4 linked regions of the Drosophila melanogaster genome follow. The protein of the gene in region 1 interacts with the protein of each later gene in a pairwise test. Each region holds a gene or a part of one and is shown on either strand. Other genes may lie near its edges. The genes, in order: Spase25, CG18508, CG11367 and Syx8.

Region 1 (5,670 bases):
GGGAAGAAATCTCCTTTCGGCGCCACCTTGCCAGAGCCAGTGGGTCGTAATTCCAATAATAAGAGCGTCCTGGATTTGCTAGGCCAACGTAATCAAGGCGTCAATAGCAACAAAGATGAATTAACAATTCTAAGCTCGGACACCAGTGATACCAGCAAAGAGGAGAAAATGATTCCAAGCTCTAAGAGGAATTTCTTTTTGACGAAGGACATTATTCCACCCGGAGAGGGAAAGAAATCTCATATCGGGGCCTCCTTGCCGGAGCCAGTGAATCGTAATTCCAATAATAAGAGTGTCCTGGATTTGCAAGGCCAGCGTAATCAAGGTAGCAAAGATGAGAAAATGATTCCAAGCTCGAAAAGGAATTTCACTTTGACGAAGGACATTATTCCACCCGGAGAGGAAAAGAAATCTCATATCGGGGCCTCCTTGCCGGAGCCAGTGAATCGTAACTCCAATAATAAGAGCGTCCTGGAGGAAGTGGATGTGGACAATTTGCTAAGCCAGCGTAATCAAGGCAACAGATTCGGTGCCCAGCGCTTAGTTGTCAATAGCAACAAAGATGAATTAATAATTCTAGGCTCGGACAGCAGTGATACCAGCGGTGATGCCAATCTCTGCAAAGATGAGATAAAGATTCCAAGCTCAAAAAGAAAGTTAACATTGATGAATGACATGGTCTCTCCATCAAAACGTGCCCACACCGAGGCTGTCGGTCCTACCACGCCGAAGCCATGGGCTCCTGTTCTGGCAGATAAAAAGGATAATGACTATCCTTATGGAGGAAAGGAATGGGCTCGTAAGTTTTTAGAGAAAAAGAAAACCAAAGCAGAGGTGGCTAACCCTACCCTAGCCGAAGTGTCGCCACAGGAAGATGAGAGCAAAGTGGTGAAGGAGCTGCTGGAGACGCAGGAGCAGCTGGACATGGTAGAGGAGATGGAAAGGAAGGAAATGGAAAAGGAGAAAATTGATGAATGGCGAAAGACATCAAAGCAAGTCCTTGAGAAAAATAAGAAAGAGGAAAAGCTAAACTTGCAAAAGCCGAAGATGGCCAAGGGGAAAGTGCAAAAAAAGAAGTCGAAGGACCGGCAATGCGGGAAGACACTAAAGATTGCTAAGGGAAAATTGGAGGCTCTAAAGACGGCCAAGGATACAATGGCAGCAAAGGTGTTAGAAAAGCAGATGATTATGAAAAAGAAAATGGCCCAGAAGATGTCAGAAATTGAGGCTTTGGAAAGACATAAGAAATATGTAGAAATTAAAGAGAAGATGGTAATGGGAAATGGGAAAAGGAACCGTAGTGCCCCATACAGATATCTGAAAAAATAAAAAGATGATGATGACAAAGGAAGCCGGAGCGCCGCAGGAAGAAGGTCAAAAACACTCGGATTTCTGGGTACACTTGGATTGGGACATCTCCACATTGTGAATAAATATAATAACAAATAGAATAATCTTTTAAAAACACATGAGTTAGTCGTACATATAGACTTTACATTACGTACATTACTCTCTTGTAGCCAAAATCTTTAGTATGTCACAAATATGAGCTTTTGGAATATAAAAACATTGATATATATATATAAACGTTTTGACATCGACAACTCCCAATTTTGATGTTTAACTTCTGGGAAGGCAGCCAGGTTAAATATGGAATTAATATCAATGGCCTTATCAGCGCAATATGGGTTTCCCCATCGCCGCCAGTTCCAGTTTGGGCACCCTCTCCTCTTCCTCTGCCGCCACCGGAATCCCCGCCCTCTTAACTTTTAGATTTTTGCAGCTGAACCCATGAAATTATAATAAAATAGTCCACAAATCATTGGTTAAGTTTCTATCAGATTCAGACAATTTATGTTAAGCTGTAAATCAAAGAATTCATTTTATATTATAGTTTTTCCGCTTATTACAAAAGACAAACAGTCGGCTTACCACAAAAGTGTACAATTTAATGAGACAAAAGTGGGGAATTTGGTTTAATTAGAAGAAAGGCTGCTAGCGTTCTTCTTGTCGGCAGCTAAGGCGTTGAACAGACGGTTGACCTCGTTGGCCACCAGGTTGTCCAGGACGATGCCATTCTGATCGATGAAGGCGGCGCACGACTTGTTGCTGCTCTGCTCGCGCCGCTTGCCATTTTTCGTGTCGCGAACACTGAGGGTCAGCAGGTACTTGTCGTCGTACTTGCGCATATCGGAGCTGGCCTCCCACAGGCGCTCCCGCTCCTTGTCCTTCTGCAGGGCCACCGCAAAGGTGCCCTTCTCGCGGAAACTGGAGTGCAGGGTCAGAATGCCGAGGAGTGCAAAGTAGGCCAAAACACTGAAGAGGAGCACTGGACGGGATTCCGGGAAGGGGTGGGTGAAGTCCCAAGCATGGGCCATTATAGCCACGGAAACGGCGAGGGCGCAGAGGGCCAAACGGGTGTTGACCAGGCCGAATTGCTCCTTCAGCTGGGGACGATCGCCAAGGAGGCAGGTTTTCACTGCATCATCGAGGGCGTGCTTCACTGCGGATCCATCCCACTTGTTGACCTTCACCAGCTGGCAGGGCACATGAAACAGGATGGAGTTAGTTTATGCACATATTCACTTAGTTTACATTTACATTCTACAATGACGTGGAACACATCTTAATGGACCAAATGCCAAGCCGGCAACCGGTTTACTCACCTCCTCGCCTTGCTGTGACTTTTCATCCTTCTTGCCCATCTTCTATCTGCTCTCTATTGTGTTTTGATGCCCTTGATTTCCAAGAGAAGTTTGCGAAATGCTCAGAAAAACTCTTTTTTCTTTTTTCAGGAGTTTTCTTCGTTTTTGTGTGACAACGCGACAACAAAATTGTCAATCGTTATCGCTGCCAATCGATAACGGACTAGTTGACCGTGCTGCCAGATAGGGGAAGCTTAAAATACTGAAATACTAGAAACTGCAAGAATTGAAATTTCCCGCGTAATTCAAATAATTTTGAGCATAAAGCATTTAATCAAGTGACTAAAAGTTACTATATATAAATAAATAAAAAATGGCTCGGCCCAAGTTTTACACAAATCGAAGCTGAGTTTATCAAAAAAAAAGTGTGTGTTTTACAAAAAGTGTCTATAAATACGGAGTACGGAATCAATTTACATGGACTTCATTTGCGCCATCAGGTCTTCCAGACTGGTTTCGTCCGCGGTAGCTGCAGATACAGTTTCCTCTGACGTTTCGCTGGACTTCTCAGGAGCCTCGTAGGCGAGCCTCAGCCCTTCACCCATCACTGGGGTTTCGGCGGGCGTTGTATTACTTTCTGGCGCATCCTCGGCGACCAGTTCGATGCCCCATTCGTTGGTGGCATGCAGCGGCTCTTCGCTGACTGCCTTCTCTTCGATCAGCACAGGTTTGGGCCTGGCTTGGAACTCTTTTTGCCGAACTAAACAGTTTCTGTCATCGCACTGCGGATTCGGTTTGAGCGTCATCTTGGGAAAGAAGTCGCTAAGGGCATTGTAGCCCAGATAGTCAGAGACCTCGCCGAAATTCAGCAGATACTTTAATGCGTTCTGGACAAGGAAGCCAGCCGTAATGCCCATAGTTGTGGGCAATGAAGCGGCGCACACGCCCTCTCTCTTCAGCGTCTTCTCGTCGATGTTCTCGGCCACCACCAAGGGTGGTGCACAAGCGAAACAGGCGGTATCGCCAGGACGGATAAACTGAATGTGCCCCGAGACGGCATTTTCCGAAACTCCCGACTCAAACCAGTTGAGATTGCGTTCATTGCACGCTGCATTGATTGCCATTCGTGCCTCAAAATTGTCCACACAGCTGAGCACCAGATCCACCGGCTGGCCAGCTATCCGTCCGCCCTGCGATATTGTGTCCAGGAAGCGATCAAAGTTCTCCACCGTTGTAATATTGTAGTTGTGCGTCTCAATCTCCACGTCCGGATTGATAAAGCTCAGGGTAGCGGCGGCGGCCGCAACTTTGGAGAGGCCCGCCTGATCGGGCGTAAAGAACAGTCTGTTCATGTTGGCCAGCTCCACTTTGTCGTAGTCGAAGAGTATCAGTTTGCCAATGCCGCAGCTGCAGGAAATCAATTGATTAATACATAGCCTTTAATTAAAGACAACATATTTGGAGTGCTAGCTGTGGTGCACAATGACTGTTGCCCTTCTCTTCTTGTTGTGCACGCACCGTGTAAGCATGTCGGCGGTGACGCTTCCCACGCCGCCCACGCCCACAATGGCCACCGCCTTGTAGCGAATGCGCTCGTAGTCCTTGACGATGTTCATCCGCTGCAGGGCCATCAGGCGGCTGTACGGATTGGAGTCCACCACCTCGGCGGACATGCGATCGATGCGATCGCGTGCCAGGCGGCTGTTGCTAGCGACGCCGCCACTGGATTTCGGCTCCGTCTCCAGCTCCGTCTTCAGATCGGCGATGATCGCCTGCAGTTCGTCGATGGCGTGCGACATTCTGGCTTTGGGGTGGCTCCAGTTTCTGGCTCGTGTGTTTGGCTATGGACGCCAGCAATTGTTAATTGTTAACTTTCGCTTTTAAGCTGGTTGTCGCCGTGTCACTTTTGACCAGTGCTGCCAGATGGCCAAATTAGTTTGGTACTTGCGTTAGATGGGATGGGGCAACGCTGCATGTTAGTGATGGCCGAGGGTCGATAGTTATATACCAAAAATATACCAATTTACATTGCCAGCTGGTACAGTGTTGGTTAATGCTACGAATGGCGCGCATATTTGAATTTTAAGACGCATAAAATAGAAGACGAGTAATAACAGCAACCAAATGGCTGTCAACTCCATTTGCTGTATGAAAACATTTAAATTTCCCACTAAAATCCATTTGTATAATTACACAAAAGATTTATTGTCAAAATCATTACACACAAATAGGTATTATAATTATTAAATAACCAAAAAAAAAAAAGAGGAGTAGAACAATTAAAGGAAGATGACGATAGTTGTGGTTGCTTTTTGTGTTAAATGCGTCAAAAAAATAATCATTATACTATTCAATAAATCGAGTGTGGGAGCACGTTTATTATTATTTAATATTATCAATATTACTGTATAAACCGGTGACTATCACTTGCCAACAAGTGGAGTTATATGTATGGATAAGTGTCCGTTCTGTGTAGCTTATTGTTTGCGGTGTACGGTGTATGGTGTGCTGCCCGCCTGTTCCGCCTGCCCCACCCGCTCCACCTGGTCCACCTGGTTCGCCTAGCTGATGTTCGTCGCGGCCACCGGGGTTCAACTGGTCCGCGGCTGGAGGCGCACGCGGAATCCCTCCTCACGCTTTAGGATGATGTCCGCCTGCAGTTTGAAGTCCGATTCGGTCAGGTCCGAGTAGACACGGTAGTTCCGCAAAATGGTCGACAGTAGGATCTTCAGCTTGAGCATCGCATACTTGCGCCCTAAAAAAATAATTATAATAAATGAAACAAAACATTATTCATATAGACGATCCGAATATTCACATAATTTGCTTCAGTGTTATATCTGCAACTCACCCACACAGCTGCGTGGTCCCGCAGAGAACGGCACAAAGGCGTAGTAGTGGCGATTGGCCTGGCGCTCCGGCAGGAAGTTGTCCGGATCGAAGACGTTGGGATTGGCGTAGACCTTCGGATTGCGATGGAGCAGGACGGTGGCCACCGTCACCGTGGCGCCCCTGGGAATCACGT
Region 2 (5,035 bases), 8.3 Mb from region 1:
TACCAGTACCTAACGCCTTCGAGCCAACATTCCGGCGGCCATACGCCGCAGCATTTGGTCCAAACGTTGGATAGCTATCCGACGCCCTCGCCGGAGTCACCTGGCCACTGGTCCTCCTCGTCGCCGCGATCGAATTCCGATTGGAGCGAGGGCGTTCAGTCGCCGGCGGCAAATAATCTTTACATATCCGGTGGCCATCAGGCTAACAAGGGTTCCGAGGCCATCTACATTTGACCGTGATCTGGATGATTTGGTATGTTGAATATCGCGCAAGGATAATTGGATGGCTTGCCAAGGATAACAGCAAAAGGGGACTCTTAAAGAGTCCGCGGCTAAGTTCGATCTAAAATATGCTATATATTGTAATTCTCTAATCTCTACGGATTATGTATTTTTTCCAACGACTCTTTTTTTTTTTTTTTGAGTGTGTCTATAAGTTTTAGATGTTAGTGCGAAATACGCAATTCTAGCGGAAGAAGCGTCATAAATTGTAGTAACTTAAATTTTATTTAATGCTTGTTGTACAGTGCGCGCCGATCGCATATATATATATATATATAGATATTGATATAGATATATGTATATCTACTCATAGATATACCAGTTAAGAGCTCGTCTTGTGGCGCATTTTATTTTATTGTCGTAACGTCATCGTAGCTTCCAGTAAAAAAAAAAACAAAAAACAAAAGAATCAACATAAAAAGATGAGCAACTAAACTTAGCGCAAATTCTGATTGGATCGATTAAACGTTTGTGGGACAATTTGTAGTTGTAAGTGACCATTATATCACTAGGCCATAAGACTACGCTAAGTTTTTTTTATCGAATTCTACATTATTAATTATGGCCCCACATGCTATATATAAATACATAAATTTCGTAGTTCTGTAGGTTTTGAAACTGAAGTGCTTATATAAACAAAATTGTTAGACCGTACACCGCATCGAACCTTTTTTTTTACACCAAGTTTTTTTTTTTTATTATTATTATTATTATTATGACTATTATGTATTATTACATATTGACTAAGCTAAACTGTAAAAAGATTCTCATAACTGTTTGATTTAAGTTGACACATACAAAATACAAAAGGATTTGCAAAAAAAATTACACAAAAATCACCAATGGAAACGTATAAGTCTAATTGAAAGAAAGAAAGAAAAGAAGAAAAAAAAGGAAAAAACCACGAAAAAGACAGTAACCAGCCAAGTTTACTATATATATAAGGACACTCGACGATCTACGATCTAAGTTGATGAAAAGATATTTTCAAAAAATATGCAACAGAAAGAAAAAAAACGCACACACTTAGAGAAAACTGCAAAATACGAATTTTCTCGTTCGATTTGCATTAATTTTAATTTGAACGGTATTGCTTTCTTTCGTCTATATTTTGTGTGTAAGTTTTTAATGTGTAAATTGTAAAATTATTTGTTTTCCTAACTTAAACAGCCAGACAGCAAAACGAAACTGCAAACTTTTTGACATAAATAATAAATATTAAATAATTATTTTAAAAGCCGTGTGTTTATTTCATTAATTATATACATATACAACATATAAAGGCGAATTTTTCAGCTCTGCGTTGTTGCAGCTGGAACAAAGTTTAAATACCATATTTCATATTGGAACTGCGTGGAGTTAACCTTTAACCTTTAACTCTTGACACACACACACACAAACCCGCAGGAAAAGAGCAGTTTTTTCGCGTGTCAAAGTGTACATTTAATTGCAAGTTAATTATACTTTAGACGTTCTTGCCGCTCTTCAAGGGCCACGCCCCCTCCCCCTCCTTTACCAAACGATCGCCGCCCACCACGTTGGATTTGTGTCCTTGTGTTGTGTGCGTTGTGTTTTCCGCTCTTATGTCAAAACATAACAAAAAAAAAAAAATGTACTATGTGTTAAATTACAATATTTGGAACATTTCGACTAGATCTCCTTCTTGGACTCGTCCACTTCCGTTTCCGCTGCCATTGCTGTTGCATTCAATGGCGGATTTTCAGATTCCTCGGCATCGTCATCACTGACGTTCTCCGTCTTCTTGCCGCCCGGAACGAAGGGGCAAACGCCGCCCTTGCACTCGAATGGGAAGTCGGGTCCCTTTTTGATCACATTGCCATCGTCGTCCTTCTTCTCCCAGGGATTCCAGTAGCGCAACAGGATCGGCTGCACAAATTTGTGCCAAATGTACAGAAGCAGTGGAATGATAATACAGGGCACGCAAACCATTGTTCGGGCTTTAAAAATGGTTAGTTATTGGCGTTGCAAGTGATTACAACAATTGCGGAACGTACCTATTTAATGTTAGCTTACTGGCTCCGGAAAAAAAGTATTTCTCGCTTTGATTTCCTTAATTCAACTATTTATTTATTGTCAAAAATGTCAGTGTAGCCAGTTCACTTGTGTTTGGTATTGAGCCTAAAAACGCCACGCATATACTGTTATCTTAAAAAAAAAAAATACGTACTCTCTAGCAAAGAACGCAACCGGTTGGACTAATATAGTCCGGACTCGAACCAAACCGTTTGAAATCTATTAACCCTTATGTGCACACCTTAGCTTTTTTTTTGCTTTTTTTTTTAGATTTTTTAACACCATGCGCATTTACAATACAGTTGAAATTTTGTCATATCATATATTTATTTCATTTGCACAGTGCTTAACCCATCAATGGGCAACGGTAGGGAACGCCAGAGCGACAACAGTACTCCCTGCCCGCCTGCAGATTGGTATTAACCCATTGATTGTGACAGTTCTTGATGAACAAATAGGCCCGTTCCTTGTGACAATCGTGACCCAGTGCGGAGCATACTATATTTGCGGAATTCGGCAGATGTTGTACGATCTAAAATGGACGAAATGGTGAGTTATAGAGCGCTTCTCCTCATCTTTTCCTCCTCGTTTCCCCAGTACTCACCGTCTCTAGGCATTTGGTTTGACACTGCTTGCGACCGATGGCATTGCAGGGAAACATATGATCCAATTCCTGGTGGATAAGTGGCTTTGTCGGCAAGCCATTTGGGATTTGCGAGGAGAGGAAGACGCCGCATGTGCACGGCACTGGCTGATTATCCTGCACAGGCAGTCCCGCTGTCGGTGGCAAGGGAATGGTGCTAACCAGACTGCTGCTGCTCGATGGGTTTGTGCTCATCAGCGGACTCGCGGTGGTTGGCTCCATCGATCGTGTGGATCCTTCCGACGATCCGATGATGGGTGCCTCGCCAACGGTCGTTTCGGTGGTGCCATTGTTACCAATGGTTTCCGTGCTGGCTTCCAATTCGCTTGCGGGCGTTGTCATAATCACAAACTCAACGGCCGTGGGCCAATCCTCTTCGGCTGTTGTGCTGCTACTTGCAACACCAGTGCTGCTCATGGTGCTGGTTTCCAGTTTGACGGGCTTCGTCTTTATACGCTTGTCCTTGATGATGTTGCTATTGCCATAGAGCGGCTTCTTGTAGACTATCTTGGATGCCTCCAAATGGATGGCTAGCAGAAGTGTCAGCAGCAGCAGGGAATTTTTAAAGGCGCCTGATATATGAAATATATACGATATGAAATGTGTTCTTTAGCTAATATTACTTTCAAAGCTTACCCATCTTGGTATCTACGGAAACACTGAATACTTCTGCCTTTGCGCCATCCATTTTATATAAGCCATTTTCTTACTTGGCTTGCAGTTTTTCAAGATTTCGGTCTTCCATTTTAGTCGGCCCCCAACGAAGTTCAAGTTGTGAGAACCGGCAAAATTGTGTCAGGGTTAAGTCTGATTAAGCAGAATTTTCACACAAAGCGAGTGGAATTCATTCATTTGGAGGAAAGTGAGAAGAAAGAAAAAGAATTACTTCCGAAAATTATGCGTAATCAATAAACCCAAAAGTTGTGTCTTGAGCTGCACAAAGTTTACCTTACCGTTCTAAACTACTTTCCAAAATCTTTTTAAATATCCCGCCAAACTGCAATGAAACTGTTATGATTATAATAACATAATGGATAACATAAATAAACGGCCGATTAAACAGCAATTATTATCCAAATTATACAAGTTATAATATGGTAATATTAACAAACATTTCAACATAAGCAAAGCTTTGGTTTTTAATCTAATTATAGATTTAATTTAATTTTCATTTTTTGGTTTGTTTTTCGTTAAGTTAGTATTTTTTGCGCTGTTTATGGAACTTAACAGAAATACCAATCAATATTGGGCGGCCAACATTTGAAATATAAATACAGATTATCGATATGTATCTTGAACGAAGTTTTAAATGTTTGTTATTTGTTAAACTCAACAATCCTATAGATTTATGCCATAAAAATGTCAAAATTATCGTTGCTTCAAATGATTTAAGTACAAAATTCGAGTTTCGATAAACGGTTAACAGTGCCGTACTCACCACGGTGCGCCCAACAGCACGCACACACAGCCGGCTGTGGTGGGTTCGCTGGACAGGCAGTGTGGTGAATATACTAGTTGCTGGAGCTTGCCGCAAAAAAAAAAAAAAAGAAAACAAAACAGATCGAAAAACACAGCAAACAACAAAATTATACGCCATTAATTACCCGATAAACTTACCGATGGCCGATAAGCAACGGCTAAGTGATCCGTAACACCCAGCGATAAGATCCAGATAAGATTGGAATTAAATTTTGGGTTTGCCATCCGCATCGAAATCGCCGCAATCGGAATTTACTTGTACACCAGCCAACTCGCCGTTCAAGACGTCCAAGTTTTTTTTAATCCAGAAATCCCATACACTGCCAAAATGCCCGAATATGTGCCGGCACGGGGCTTCAAGGAGATGGAAAATCTGATCAAGCTGTACGAGAACCAGCGCAGCCCCATCTACATCTACTTCTACGGCGAGAAAGACAAGGACGGACGCAGCTGGTGTCCGGACTGCGTGGCGGGTAGGTGACGAATTCTCCTCGCCCAGCGGGGCGTTACTAGTCCAGTTGGGCACTCTACATTCTGCTTATCACGCTTCTCATTTGTGGGTTTCAGTTAGTTACTTTCTACCCAGCTAACTTGAGT
Region 3 (9,561 bases), on another chromosome or scaffold:
AACGACTCTTTGATCATCTTCTCCTGTTTCTACGTGTGCATCATTTCCCTTCCATTTCCACAGGTTCTGCGCATTAAGCCTCCCATGTGCATCACGCTGGCTGATGCCAAGTTCGCCGTGGATGTGCTGGCCCTGGCCATCACGGAGACTCTACCCGAGAATAACTAATGAAGATTGGAGAAGACGAGTACACATACACGGGAGAGCGTTTGTAGGATGGTCTCAGCTGCATTTATTAACTATCTAAGCTATCTAAGCAGATCTCTAAGTAGTTACTCCTAACAAAGACTTATGGACCTCTAAATCGTCAACTGTTCAATATTTAAAAGAATTGGTTTTTATACATTAAATTGTTGAAGATCCCACAAGACTAGTATATGTTACTGCGTTTCCCAAATGGGCGGGGCAAATCACCCCAGAAAATCCACAGTCTACTGCTAGCCAGATTACCTTGCATCTTTGCCATTACCATCTGTGGGAGTGAAGTAGTTCCATATTGATCCCTCAAACGCTCTTGTCAAACTTACACATAACTCACTCTTGGATTCTCTAAAACCTCGATTGCACACGTGTACACTTTTATGATTCAAGTTGATATTTGCACATGAAAAAAAAAAATAATCCTCAGCACTTCGATTCCAAATTGTAATTTACTTGGCAACCCTAAGCTCGGAATATGGCTATAATCTACGATCAGCATACGCACCATTCTAAATGTACTCACCCACTTATCTTAAAAATCGGTATAACCATTTATTTATATAGAAATCAGAAGACATTCCCAAGCTCTATCTTTTTGAAAATGCAAATTCTAGCATCTTGGACGGTTCGAAAAGGATAAATTATTGGTAGCAGGATATACATATAAAATTTTGACACAACATAAGCATTAAATACAAAATGACTGAAAGTATGCACTACATATATAGCACGTATTAAACGTGTAAAAATTGGGTACCAATGTAGATTTTCAAAAGTTTAAGCGCACGAACATTATTTGACAATTACCTTACAAGTTATTCCTAAAGCACAATCTTTTAGAACAACAATTGTTGTTTCAGTTTTAAATTTAGTACCTGGCCTTGACCAGTAAAAAGATCCCATGAAATGTAAAATTTCCAGATTACATTTTTTGATGCTACACTGTAGGACGGAGGGTCATTAATATAATAATAATTTTCGCATTATTTGAAGTTTCCTCTTCTCTTCAGGTGCTGAGCATGAGACCGCCACTGTGTCTTTGTGCCGAAGACGTGGAATTTGCCCTGGAGACACTGGAGGAAGCGTTTAAATTTCATATGAGCAAGAGCCCTCGCAGTTGGAGAAACAGCACAATGATGATGTAGAAAAGTTGTACTTTAGAGCTCATTTATTTGCTTATTCGCTTACAAACTAATAATTGAACAACATTATAGAGCAGCATTATGACCAACAATCGAGTCTTCGAGCTAGCGGTCTTTGAGCGAGGCTTTGACTTATTTATAAATGTACATCTCAGGAATTCTTAGAAGTAATGTGTGATGTGAAGCATGACACACCCTCATACAGTTTTAGGGAACGAGTGTGATTTGAATCCGTATCTGCTAAGGCTAGCTTAATGTTTGGTTTCAATGGCATTGCCTTGAGCATAAATAAATAAAACAACTCGAAAACCGCCTTAGTTTGAACTAGGTAATGCAAAAACGCAGTCTTCTGTTAAAGTCCAGGAGATTCTCTTTGGCTGGGGGTCCTGTAGGACTCCGTTCCCCAAGTGGCTCCTGTTAAACTTGTACGTCGGGATGCTTGCCCTCGTTATTGTAATCAGCGCTCAGCAACGTCTCAGACAGCTCCTTTCTGGCCTTCTGCAATACCCAGAACATCAAGGCCACGCCGCAAATTACCTTAAAGACACAAAAGACACATTGTGGATTAAATAACTTAAGATAAAACAAGATAATTAAACAAAGAGCTTGTGGACTTATTAAACAGCAATAATGAAGCAATTCAAATGTACAAACTCAAAAACTATTAGGCATATGATCTAAGAAGAGGTCAATTGCGATCCAAAGCGAACATACCTCAAACAGGAAGCTGATATACCCCGTCAGTTTGGTATCGTTATCACTGAGCACTTCATGCATGGACCTTAGCGTGGAACCCAAGTAAACATTGATGGTTTGGGCTGGCAGCAAACCAATCAGCGTGGCCACATGGTAGTCTCTTGTGTTGATGGAACTGATCTGTGAAAATAATAGTGTGATATAGAAACTAAATGGTTTAAGCGTGCCATGATTTAGCACCTAATTTTTAAGGAAAACTGGTTTTTGTTCAGTTTAACTGCATAGAAACTTGACGAATATGCACATATATTAGGTATACAACGTAACCGTCTCTGTATTATTCGTATAATTAGCTATTTAAATATTGCAGTATAAATAATTATTCATATAGATTCACAAAGCTTTGCAAAATTTTATTTACATGTCAGTGTGACGAATATTTGGTCCATTTTCAATTTGTTCCATTTAATTTTACGTTCGAATTCTTAAAGTTAATAAATAAAATTCTTGAAGTGACAAATTGGCAAACAATAAGAGAATATCTAGATATTTCGAACTCGCCCTTTTCTGAACAACAAGTTCAAGAATAACAATAGATCTGACAAAATCTAGTCACTTACTCCGAATATCACATTCTGCACTCCGAAGGGAATGGGGGTAAGTCGGGTAAAGAGAACGACTCGAAATGCCTTTGGGCCAGAAATGACGCGAAGAATGGCTCGTCCCGTATCATTCTTGATCAGCCTGCAAATAGATGCAATCGAACGGGTCTCATCACTTAATTTATTAAGTATACATATGTACATATATACATAATTACACCCAACTACTGACTCTAATTGAGTTTATCCAACAATCAGGAAATGATTATTGGGGCTATCAGCCAGTTCCACCGTTCGTCGATGAAACAGTTTACGCTCCCTCATAAAAATTGGTAGGCATTGATTTCATGCTATCACACAAATAACCTTTAATTAGGTGTGCCTATTTGGTAAATGTGATGTTAAATAAATGTGTTATTTTTAAAGAAAATTCATAAGCCTCTGTAATTGATTAATTATGTCCGCTGGGTATTGGAACCTAGTTTAGTAATTGTCGGAAATTAAAAGCTTGCTGCTATCAGGCGCGACAAATGTCTGATAAGGAGATCAAAACCGACTGAGCGTTAAAGGGGGATTTACCCAATGAGGCGGGTTTTAATTGCAAACGGGTTTAATGACAAATGAGCGTTTAGTACCTATATACAAAACATACAACACATTTATATGTACCGGCGATGTGGATACGCGATATCGATTTTGCGGAATAACTGCCCTTATCAGATATTCCTTGGGCAAATGTATTTGCTCAGTCGCCGTCACCGTGGCTTTGCAATTGTCGTGTGTCACAAGATCCACTTTGATCACCGTCATTCCGCAATCTATGCGATCTGGTTCGGCTTGCAGGTAGACAGACTTCTATGTCCTGGGGCTCGCTGGGGCAGGCGGCGGTAAGTAGATCCACGGAGTAATCATCCCGGACGTGCAGGGTGTCGCCAAGCTGACAAAGAATGCCCCGGAACTCGGGGTAGGCCTGGCAGCAGTCATCGGGAATAGAGATTGACAGCCGCAGCGACATCACGTTTCCGGGAGCGAAGGGATAGTCAAGGAGTCTGCGACTGGTGTCTCGCTTTCCCAGACCCACGTGCGAGACCACGACTGGGGAGCAGTTGTACTTGCGAGCCAACTCCACTGTCTCGGCTGCACTGCTGACACCCTTAGGCAACACGCGGAGCTCCCTTAGGTGCCGAGCCAGAAGGATTAAATAGGCGGCGTGCAGTTCCAGAGGTGTGCGGACGGCACCCTCACATCCTGCGTACTGTATCAACGAGCACAGATCCCGACGCATGTCCAACAGCGCACCATAAATCATTTTCTGGGGCGGCGTGAATCGCCCCGAGCTGGGCCAGCATCTGGCCAGTCCCCCCTCGTAGCCTCCGTACTGACATCCAGCGTCCATCTGCCACAGCCCATTGCCATCCAATCCGCACGAAGTTTTTGTCACGTCGGGACGAGCGTGGCGCAAACGGCACTTGTAGTCAAATGAAGCGGCCAGCTCCTGAGGAATCTGATGATGCTGTGCGATTACCTCCGCCATGGAGTCCGCAGCGGTGGCGTTAGCCCGACGCAGGGCTCTCAGCTCCCGCGAGGTCTTGACGGTGCGTGTGTACTGGAGGATGTATCGGGGATTGCCCATAGGAATCTTGGCTTCATTAGCCACCTCTTGCACTATACAACTGACAGGACTCGATGGGTCGTAGAAGTGCCATAGCTCGGGCGAGTGATCCCTTAACAGCCAGAGTAAACTTTTCTTAAGCATTGCGAGGGGCAGAACGTCGTCCACGTAGTGCATATGGCTAAAAATGGTGGACAGCTGGGAGTCCACATCCTGGGAAAGAAAGAGCAACGCGCCAGTATTTCGCTTTCGGCTGCGGGTGAGAACCAATGCTGCCCCTGGTCTCAAGCAGTCGCAAAGATAGAGGAAGTCAGGCCTCTGCCGAAAGGGGTAACTCCGAGCTGAGTCAGCTCCGGCCACCACAAGAACGTGCGAAAATATGCGGTTTTTCCTGTGCGGCTCTTTGAATGCGTCCTTCGCGTGCATATAAGAATTAAGGTCGTCCAGGGACATTTTTCGGTGCAGATCAATTTCATCCGGCAGGAGAACTCCGTCGGGCCGTGGATCGCTGCGCAGGTACTCGGACATTGTGGCGAACTGTCCGCCAGGGGCATCGCAGGAGAACTTCTCGATCAGGTCGGGCACTGAGAGCGGGCGGATCCTCTTGGTAAGCTCGGAGGGCCAGACCGTTGGCAGCACCAGAAGCACATCACTCCTATCCGGTGGGGCCACTACGGAACAACCGCGACGCACCTCTTGCCAGGCATAATACTTAAAATTTCGAAGAAACCGCAGCATTGGAGAATACAAAAAGCACACAGAGCAATGGGTAATATAAGGGCTAGATACAAGAAAGCGAGACTTATGGAAGATAGGGTTCCCTGATCGCAATAAATTTAAATATGTACTACTCGTAAAATGGGCATATGGACTCTGTAGCACTTGTCAATACAAAGATCAGTTTTCCGCTTAAAAGTATTAAAAATATTAACGTTTTGTGCGTGACCACTGTTTCTTGATTATTGGAGAGATGAATTTATTATTTAAAAACTGAAATATTTTTTAAGAAGTGTAGAACAGGTTACTGCGTTTGTGATCGCGGCAATGACTTAAAACCAAATTGCGCGGATTAGTTTGTTAAATCACAACAGACAAACGGACAAATGGAATCGGTTGGAGATCTTTATCAAGGATACATAGACACAATTAATTATTTTCAACGGAGTGTACCTACAAGAGCAAAGCGCATGACTTTAGAAGATAGTACACCTAATTTTCAACAGTTGGGGATTTGTATGCGTAGTATTTAACACTACTCAACGAACAGATAAATAAACTCTGTATTTTCAACGGAGCTTCGATTTTTAGCTTTTTAAATTTTACGCTTTATGCCGCTTATGACGTGTAAAAGTGCACAAATTAGTTTCTGGAATATCGAAGCAGTTTTAAACTAAAGACGCATAAATATATGATTTTAAGAAGTCGATGAAGTGTCACCAGACGCGCAACTCACCTTTGGACGGGAATGCGGTGCCGGCAGCTGCGAATGGTGGCATGGGCCACGGCTATGCCGATATTGGCGCCCAGGATCACGGTGACCCAACCGCGCAGGCAGCCGAACAGGTAACCGGCGGTGATGAGCAGAACGAAGTAGCCCACCACCACGGGGAAGCTGACAAGAGCGAAGAGCCCCATGTAGACGGCAAATGTTATCCAGGCGTTCTGCATTTCGATCCAAAAGAGCAATTGGCGAGCATAGTCCCGCGTCGCCCATCCGATGAAGACGAGGGCGCCTAGAATGGTGGCGGGCACTAAGCAGCCCAGGTACCAGTTGCGGGTGAGAAAGCTGTGGGCTCGTCCCCAACACGAGTTGCGCTTCCGGTTGTGTAGCACAGAGGTGGTGGCGGAGGAGCGGGTAGCTCTCCGACTGGCTAGAAACGGGTCACATTCGCTGTCCTCCGACGTGTCCGGTGTGCGCTGGGCGGCGAAGAGAGCTTCGGAGTTGCCGGCAGCCCCCACAATGCTGTCTGGTGGATCCACCTCCACGGCGTTGGAACAGCTGGCCTGGATCAGCTGAGGGAAGGCGGGTGCGGTGGAGGCGGGCACTGGCTTCTGCATGATGCAGTTGGTATCATTGTTGTTCGAATAGCCGTACGTGGTTTTGTTTTTATAGTTGTTGTTATTGTTGCATGACATGACCAGGATTTTCTTTTGGCCACAGCTCTGCCTTTCTCCGTTTTCTTTTCCACTTGTCGCTGTGAAATTTCACTTTTATGCACCCACATTCGCGCAAATACAGAGTTCTGAGTTTACGGTCGCATGTGTGTGCTTTGTGTCACATATGGCAAGGCAACCGAGTCCCAGAAACCGTTGTTGTTATTGTCTTAATTCAATTAAAATTACGAATTGTATTTATTGTTTATATATGTGCCACAGCCGCTCAACAATCGACGTACGACTGCCCACTCGACGTTGACGTTCCGACTGGAACTTCGAGTTCCCGCAGCGAGAGTGAAAGAGAATGTGAGAGGACAGAGAGCGTGCAGTGCTGCGATTTTAGCATTTTTCTTTAGCCATACTATACGGACTGCTCCAGTTTCTTCTTCTTTAAAAATTAATTAATAATGTGATTTATATTATATTTATAAATTATTTCCTTTGTAGTTTTACCTAAAATGTATAATGATTGCTGTGTGAAATACATGCCTTTTCTCTCATCTTTTTCACTTAACAATTAGTTGCTATAAATTGTTTGTAGCCGTCGATGGTGTAGCATTGTATATCGATTAATTAGAAAAACTGAAAAAATGAGCTTGGTCCCACTAACCGAACAGCTGTATAGACGATATCAAATTAAGTAACAACAAATATAAATCATATACTGGAAAATATGTTGTGCCGGCGATCATTGTTGGGCGTAACGACAAAATGCCTAAGACTTTCGTCCACGCAGCAACACAGATCGGGTCAGCCGGAATGTGACCAAGCCATCGGCCTCTTGCCCGCCTACTCGGATGCAGATCGTTTGAAGATCTTGAAGACGATTAATGAAAGCAGCATGAATCAGATAGCCAAGTAGGTAGCCACTCCTGCACTTTGCCTTGCACAAATACTGATTATCCCGCCCAGCTACGACATAACCAAGGCAAGGGCAACCAAGCTGCAAAACTGGAAGAACCGTCACGGACCGCTGCAGGAACTCAGCGACATCCTGTATGTGGAGGGATTCGGACTGAAGGTGACCACCAAGTTCTTTAAGAGTCTGCTTGCGCCGCCGAGCAGTGGGAGCGCACAAGTAGGGGAAAATAGACCAAAGACTGCACGAGTCGCGCCCTTTATAACACCGGCCATGGACGAGGGACAGCGTTCACGTATTGTATCTGCTGTAGGGGTGCGCATCGGAGTGACCAGTGTAAGCTGGGCGCGATTAAAGATCGGAAGCAACGAAGCTCCCTGTCTGCTCACGCACTGGCAGCACCATGAGCTGAACGACAAGAAGCTGCATTTGTCAGAACTTTCCCGCCGATGCCTCTATGTATCTCACCAGATACCCGTGGCCGATTGCTACGTCATGGAGAGTCCACAAATGGCCCAGGCCAGCAGCAACCCAGGGAGCATCGATCAACAGAACGTGAACATCCAGAAGGCCCAGGTTTCCGCAATCATGAGCTTCTCCTTGATGGCCCGATCAGATGGCGACGAGAACAAGACGAACAACGTCTACTACATGCGACGTTTTCTCTCAGCCCGACTATTTAATCACATGGTGGGTACTGAGCGCGTGTCGTCCGAGGATACGATATTGGCCATGATGCGAACCCATTACAACGTGGAACATCAGATCCCCGAAACAGAGCCCCCGTTGAAGCTGCACAAACAGATCGACTTTCCCGCTGACCTACGCCTCGAATTCTCACAACAAGAGCGCTACCAGCGCGAGCTTCTAGGCCAGGCACTTCTCCTCAGCTTAGCCTTTACTCGTCTCGTGCTTCAGCAAGATCCGCAAAGCATTGCATCTGTATCTCGCAACTCTAAAAACTCCTCTCCAAGTCGAGCCACTTAAAAAGCTACAAGTGTAAGAATATGAACTCGACTCTTTTTGGCCTTTGCACTTTGTATTATAATGACCCGTTGAACAATTTTATGCACAATATTTAACAGGGGTTTTAATAGGAGCAGTTTCTAATGGCACAACTGCATTTCCATGGAATACCATAAACATAGATTATTTTGAGCTTGGCCCCACTTAGCTAATTAGAATTTGTCGCCATCAAAAATATCATGTCTTTCTTTCATTACTGCCCACATATTAGGTCTTAAAAATATTTATTTAGCAGAACTAAAATAAATAAATACTTGATGCTGGCCCTGTCCGTTTGAACGAATTTATTTTTAAATACAAGTAATAGTATTTGTACAGTTTAATGCGATAAGAAAATTATCTATAAGGAATCATTGTTTCTTAGTCCAATTGATAGACCAAAGTGGCTTATTTTTTAAGTTTCCCATCAGCGCCGTTTACGGAGAAGTCGTTGTCTGAAACCTTCCGAATTAAACGCGAGTGCGTCGGTAAGTTCCTAGCGTTCCATTCCCGCTGAGCACTAGCGGCGATACCGTGATGCTTACTAGAATTACGCATGCCGAGGCTGGGGAATTCAGAAACTTCGTTTAAATTTGCGGCAAAGGAAGTGTGGTCTATGGGCTTGTAGGAGCTTGATGCGACGGAAAGTCGACTGCTAGAAAGCGAACAAGCTTCGGGTTGGCTTTCCTTCTTGACCCCAGATCCGGGAAGCGAATAAAAAGAGTCGAAGGAGGACTCGTGGTCGAGTGAGGAGGCGTACGAGCTTATGATAAGGTAGTTGGGTTTTGTTTGGGCAGGTATGTGCTTTCCGGGTTGGACGGTTATGGCCAGGTCTCCGCACATAAAATCAGTGAAGGTATACGCCCATCTAGTCACCATACTCTGGGTACAGTACTTGGTTCGATCATTATCCTCGTGGTACTGCAAAAGTAATCAGGAAGGAAGTCAACTAGGGGTTATCAGAATTGGGAACAGAATCTTACCTGACACGCAATCCCTGCGGTAAACTCGAAAAAGTCTTTCTTAAAAAAAGCATCCGTCGCGAATTTGTTGATTTTCTCGTCATTCAAATCAGCGACATTCATGACCTCCTTCTTCAATATGAATAGCAAGTACTGGATATCAAACACCTGGATTTTTTCGCCCCCGTCCCTGAAGTCATCATCGCACTCCAAATAGCGGAAGCATGACTTCACCATGGTAATATTTTCGGCGGGTGTAAAGACTACTAGGGTCTTGCCTTTTCCCTGGCATTTGGATAAGTAGTCAACAATGTTGCGGTACAGC
Region 4 (3,186 bases), on another chromosome or scaffold:
AACTGCGCCGGCGGCGTCGGAGCCTCTGTCAAGGCTGTGAATGCCAGCTACTCGGACGCTGGTCTGTTCGGTTTTGTGGTCTCCGCCGACTCCAAGGACATTGGCAAGACCGTGGAGTTCCTGGTGCGCGGCCTGAAGTCGGCTTCGGTGTCTGATAAGGATGTGGCCAGAGGCAAGGCTCTTCTGAAGGCGCGCATCATCTCGCGCTACTCGTCGGACGGTGGTCTAATTAAGGAGATCGGTCGCCAGGCGGCGCTCACCCGGAACGTGCTGGAGGCGGACGCCCTGCTTGGCGCAATCGATGGCATCTCGCAGTCGCAGGTCCAGGAGGCGGCCAAGAAGGTGGGCAGCTCCAAGCTGGCCGTCGGCGCCATCGGGCACCTGGCGAACGTGCCCTACGCCTCCGATTTGGCTTAAGTATATAAACACCTGTACATCTGTTAACCGTAATGTAACGACTAAATAAACCTGATCAAGGGGATCGATCCGCGAACGTAAATACTTATAAATCCTACTTTAATTGGTGTATACATAAATAATCAAACTTTGGGTTAACAGATAGACATTCCACGCAGGTCATAGTATAAAGTAGTATAACAACTGGAATGGATCGTGGGAGCTAGACGAAGACCACGACAATGATGGCGACGAACAAGGCTATGATGACGAGCCAGTAGCCCCAGGTACTGTCCCGCCGGTTAACCTGTCCAATGCTCTGTGTTTCCCGCTGCACACCCGTTTCCACACGGTCCATGGCATTGGCCAAGTTGTCAAGGATATCTACAAGGAGGTAGGGATTAGCATTGGTAGTGCAGGGACTGGGGAATACCCACTGTTCTGGTCCTCCACCTCGTTGCCCAGCTGTGTGGCCAGTTGGCGCTGTCTGGACAATGTGGCTGATAGAACCTCGAGTCCTTCGTTCTGCTGCGCCAGCATCTCGGTCTTTTTCTGCTTCAGAGCCTCCACATCCAAGGCGGTATTCCGCGAGGAATTGCTGTGACCTGGGCCGAGATCCTGATCCTGCCAAGCAGAACCGGATGCGGCCGGGACATTGGAGCGGCTACTGTTTGCGAACTTCTCGCGGATCTCGCGCAGCTGCGAAGTAAGTCTATCCCAGTCGATGCGCCGCTGTTGCAGCTCCTCCTCCGGGCTCGTCTCCCAGGTGATGGCGTTGTCCAGCACCACCTTGAGGTGCTTCATGTCCTTGGCCAGCTGCTCTATTCCCGTCTGAATGCTGCTTGTCAGTTGGACGAACTGGCTCGTCCTCGGATTGAGCTGCTGCCGCTGGTTGAGGTATACCAGCAGCTGATGCCGCAGTCGCTCGCAGCCCTCGTACTCGATGTCCCAGGAATCGTGATCCACCAGCGCCATTTCTCTGCTTTTGCTATGAGTAATTATCAAAAGCAGAAAACTACGCCTCCAGCAATCCAAGTAACAAAAACAAAAACAATAGCCGAGCAACAGCTGATGGCTGGTAGCAAAATAAGTAAGCGCGAGTACGGTCACATTGCCAGTAAGAAGGGATTCGGAAATAATCTTCAATGTTTGAACTGATTTAGATATTATACTTATGTAGCTGTAGATAAGCTGGAAAAATGCACCGCGATTAATCCCCAATCCTTTATCAATTCACCTCGCAGGTGCGTTGCTAGTGTGAACTATTTACTAAATAATTTAAGCTGGTCACTCGAAAATCGTCACTATGATGTGAAGTATGATTATTCGGCCCGAATTCCTGAAACTACTCACAAAAATTAAGAAATGCTTTCCAAATTGCTTCCAATTCTGATTCTGCAAGGTGGCCGAAGAACGTATTCCTTGTGCTCGAGAGATTACACCATCCCCACAAGTAACCACACCCTAACTGGTCAAATTTTAAAGGTTCCAAACCTAAATTCGCAGGAAAGATGTTTTGGTACGCACATTGTTGTCCGGCATAAGAGAGGTCGGTTCTACACCGACATTGGCGAGCTCCGGGCTGTATTGGTATACTCCATCAGGGACGGTGTGATGACCATCAACAGCACCAACGTCCCGGAGGAACTGGGCGGACATGGCATTGGGAAGCTACTGGCCAAGTCGGCACTGGACTACGCACTGTTGAATGGGCACTTCATTATTATAAGGTGTCGGTTTGTCCAGCACTACATCGACAAGTATGAGCCGCAATACGCCAAGTACATATTAAATTAGGGAACCGAAAACAAAACTTCAAAATTGTCGACACAATCAAACTGAACACAAATAAATCCCCCCACTATGCACATAGACACCATACATATAAACGTATATTTGCGTTCAGATTTGTTGAATTCCTTCGGTTTTTGAAAAATTACATGAAAATAATTTGAATTGGCTTATTTTTAAATTATTTCAAAATTTCTAAACCGAAAGGTAACAGATTATATTTAATGACGAAATTACGGTTTCTTATATAAGCTATTTTGTTATGCTTCTAAAAACAAATGTTTTATTACCTCTTTAAAATATGTAAACTAGTTTTCACAATATATTTTAAAAAATTGTTAATTTCCATATATACCACCTTGCATTGTGTGACCACCCTGAAATTAGCAAAGGGCGTTGCCAGACTCCGGCCACCCACGCACATACGATAGTTGGGACCGGCCCGGCGCGGTGGACAAAGTCACGGTATCGATATGGTGACACGATTCACCCACACATGCATGCATTGGGCTACGATGGCTGTGACACAAGGTGTGAAGAAATCACTGGGTTACAATGAGCGCTATTTATAAATATTTTGGAAGTATGCTGCAGGATTTCATAAAAGTAGTATGCAATTGGTATGCTTGATTCATATTGTTTAAAATTTGCTGTGCTACGTCAATTTTGTACTTGAAAAATATGGAGTCGTGACATGCCGCCAAAGCGGTGACTTGTCACGGTGAAATAATCGCGACTAGTAGCAGGTACGCAACTATCGCCCATCGCTAGCTCACACGTACACACAATTTATTTAGTCGTGATTTCTATTTTATTTGTTTCAAATTACAACCAAGAAGGAAACAAATCGCGACCAAAATCCGCTGGCCACAATGCCGAGTGCCTGTACAAGCGTGCGCGAGCATTCCCACTAATCGGAAGCGAGCGCATCCGCCGTTTTGAGCGTTTTCCGCGCGGGAGTGGGAAATCGAAAAGGCAAGGCAAGCCATCGGTCCGCTG

What was found.
Region 2: the proteins of Spase25 (region 1) and CG18508 interact in a two-hybrid assay, tested with the Drosophila melanogaster proteins (one large-scale study listed by BioGRID).
Region 3: the proteins of Spase25 (region 1) and CG11367 interact in a two-hybrid assay, tested with the Drosophila melanogaster proteins (one large-scale study listed by BioGRID).
Region 4: the proteins of Spase25 (region 1) and Syx8 interact in a two-hybrid assay, tested with the Drosophila melanogaster proteins (one large-scale study listed by BioGRID).

The regions. Positions count from the first base shown.
Region 1 is NC_004354.4:11,482,428-11,488,097, reverse strand, and holds Spase25 (spase 25-subunit), read right to left. Parts: upstream 2,849-5,670; 5' UTR 2,706-2,848; coding exon 2,667-2,705; intron 2,538-2,666; coding exon 1,977-2,537; 3' UTR 1,532-1,976; downstream 1-1,531. Other genes in the region: CG33235 (uncharacterized protein), read left to right, coding at 1-1,329; Uba5 (Ubiquitin-like activating enzyme 5), read right to left, coding at 3,119-4,052, 4,164-4,444; Cyp4g15 (cytochrome P450 4g15), read right to left, coding at 5,237-5,400, 5,497-5,670. UniProt on the Drosophila melanogaster protein: Component of the signal peptidase complex (SPC) which catalyzes the cleavage of N-terminal signal sequences from nascent proteins as they are translocated into the lumen of the endoplasmic reticulum.
Region 2 is NC_004354.4:3,170,748-3,175,782, forward strand, and holds CG18508 (uncharacterized protein), read right to left. Parts: upstream 2,394-5,035; 5' UTR 2,298-2,393; intron 2,241-2,297; 5' UTR 2,233-2,240; coding exon 1,933-2,232; 3' UTR 1,521-1,932; downstream 1-1,520. Other genes in the region: N (notch), read left to right, coding at 1-234; Fcp3C (follicle cell protein 3C), read right to left, coding at 2,663-2,848, 2,921-3,531, 3,596-3,647; CG3939 (uncharacterized protein), read left to right, coding at 4,767-4,911.
Region 3 is NT_037436.4:22,725,239-22,734,799, reverse strand, and holds CG11367 (uncharacterized protein), read right to left. Parts: upstream 6,690-9,561; 5' UTR 6,390-6,689; coding exon 5,707-6,389; intron 5,035-5,706; exon of another isoform or gene 4,992-5,034; coding exon of another isoform or gene 3,387-4,991; exon of another isoform or gene 3,200-3,386; intron 2,788-3,199; exon of another isoform or gene 2,784-2,787; coding exon 2,660-2,783; exon of another isoform or gene 2,220-2,659; coding exon 2,058-2,219; exon of another isoform or gene 1,881-2,057; coding exon 1,761-1,880; 3' UTR 1,354-1,760; downstream 1-1,353. Other genes in the region: CG11241 (uncharacterized protein), read left to right, coding at 1,212-1,346; CG32454 (uncharacterized protein), read right to left, coding at 3,387-4,991; CG14450 (uncharacterized protein), read left to right, coding at 7,084-7,268, 7,323-8,256; mael (maelstrom), read right to left, coding at 8,683-9,195, 9,258-9,561.
Region 4 is NT_037436.4:16,585,608-16,588,793, forward strand, and holds Syx8 (syntaxin 8), read right to left. Parts: upstream 1,451-3,186; 5' UTR 1,372-1,450; coding exon 834-1,371; intron 781-833; coding exon 620-780; 3' UTR 501-619; downstream 1-500. Other genes in the region: UQCR-C2 (Ubiquinol-cytochrome c reductase core protein 2), read left to right, coding at 1-417; CG32163 (uncharacterized protein), read left to right, coding at 1,762-2,193.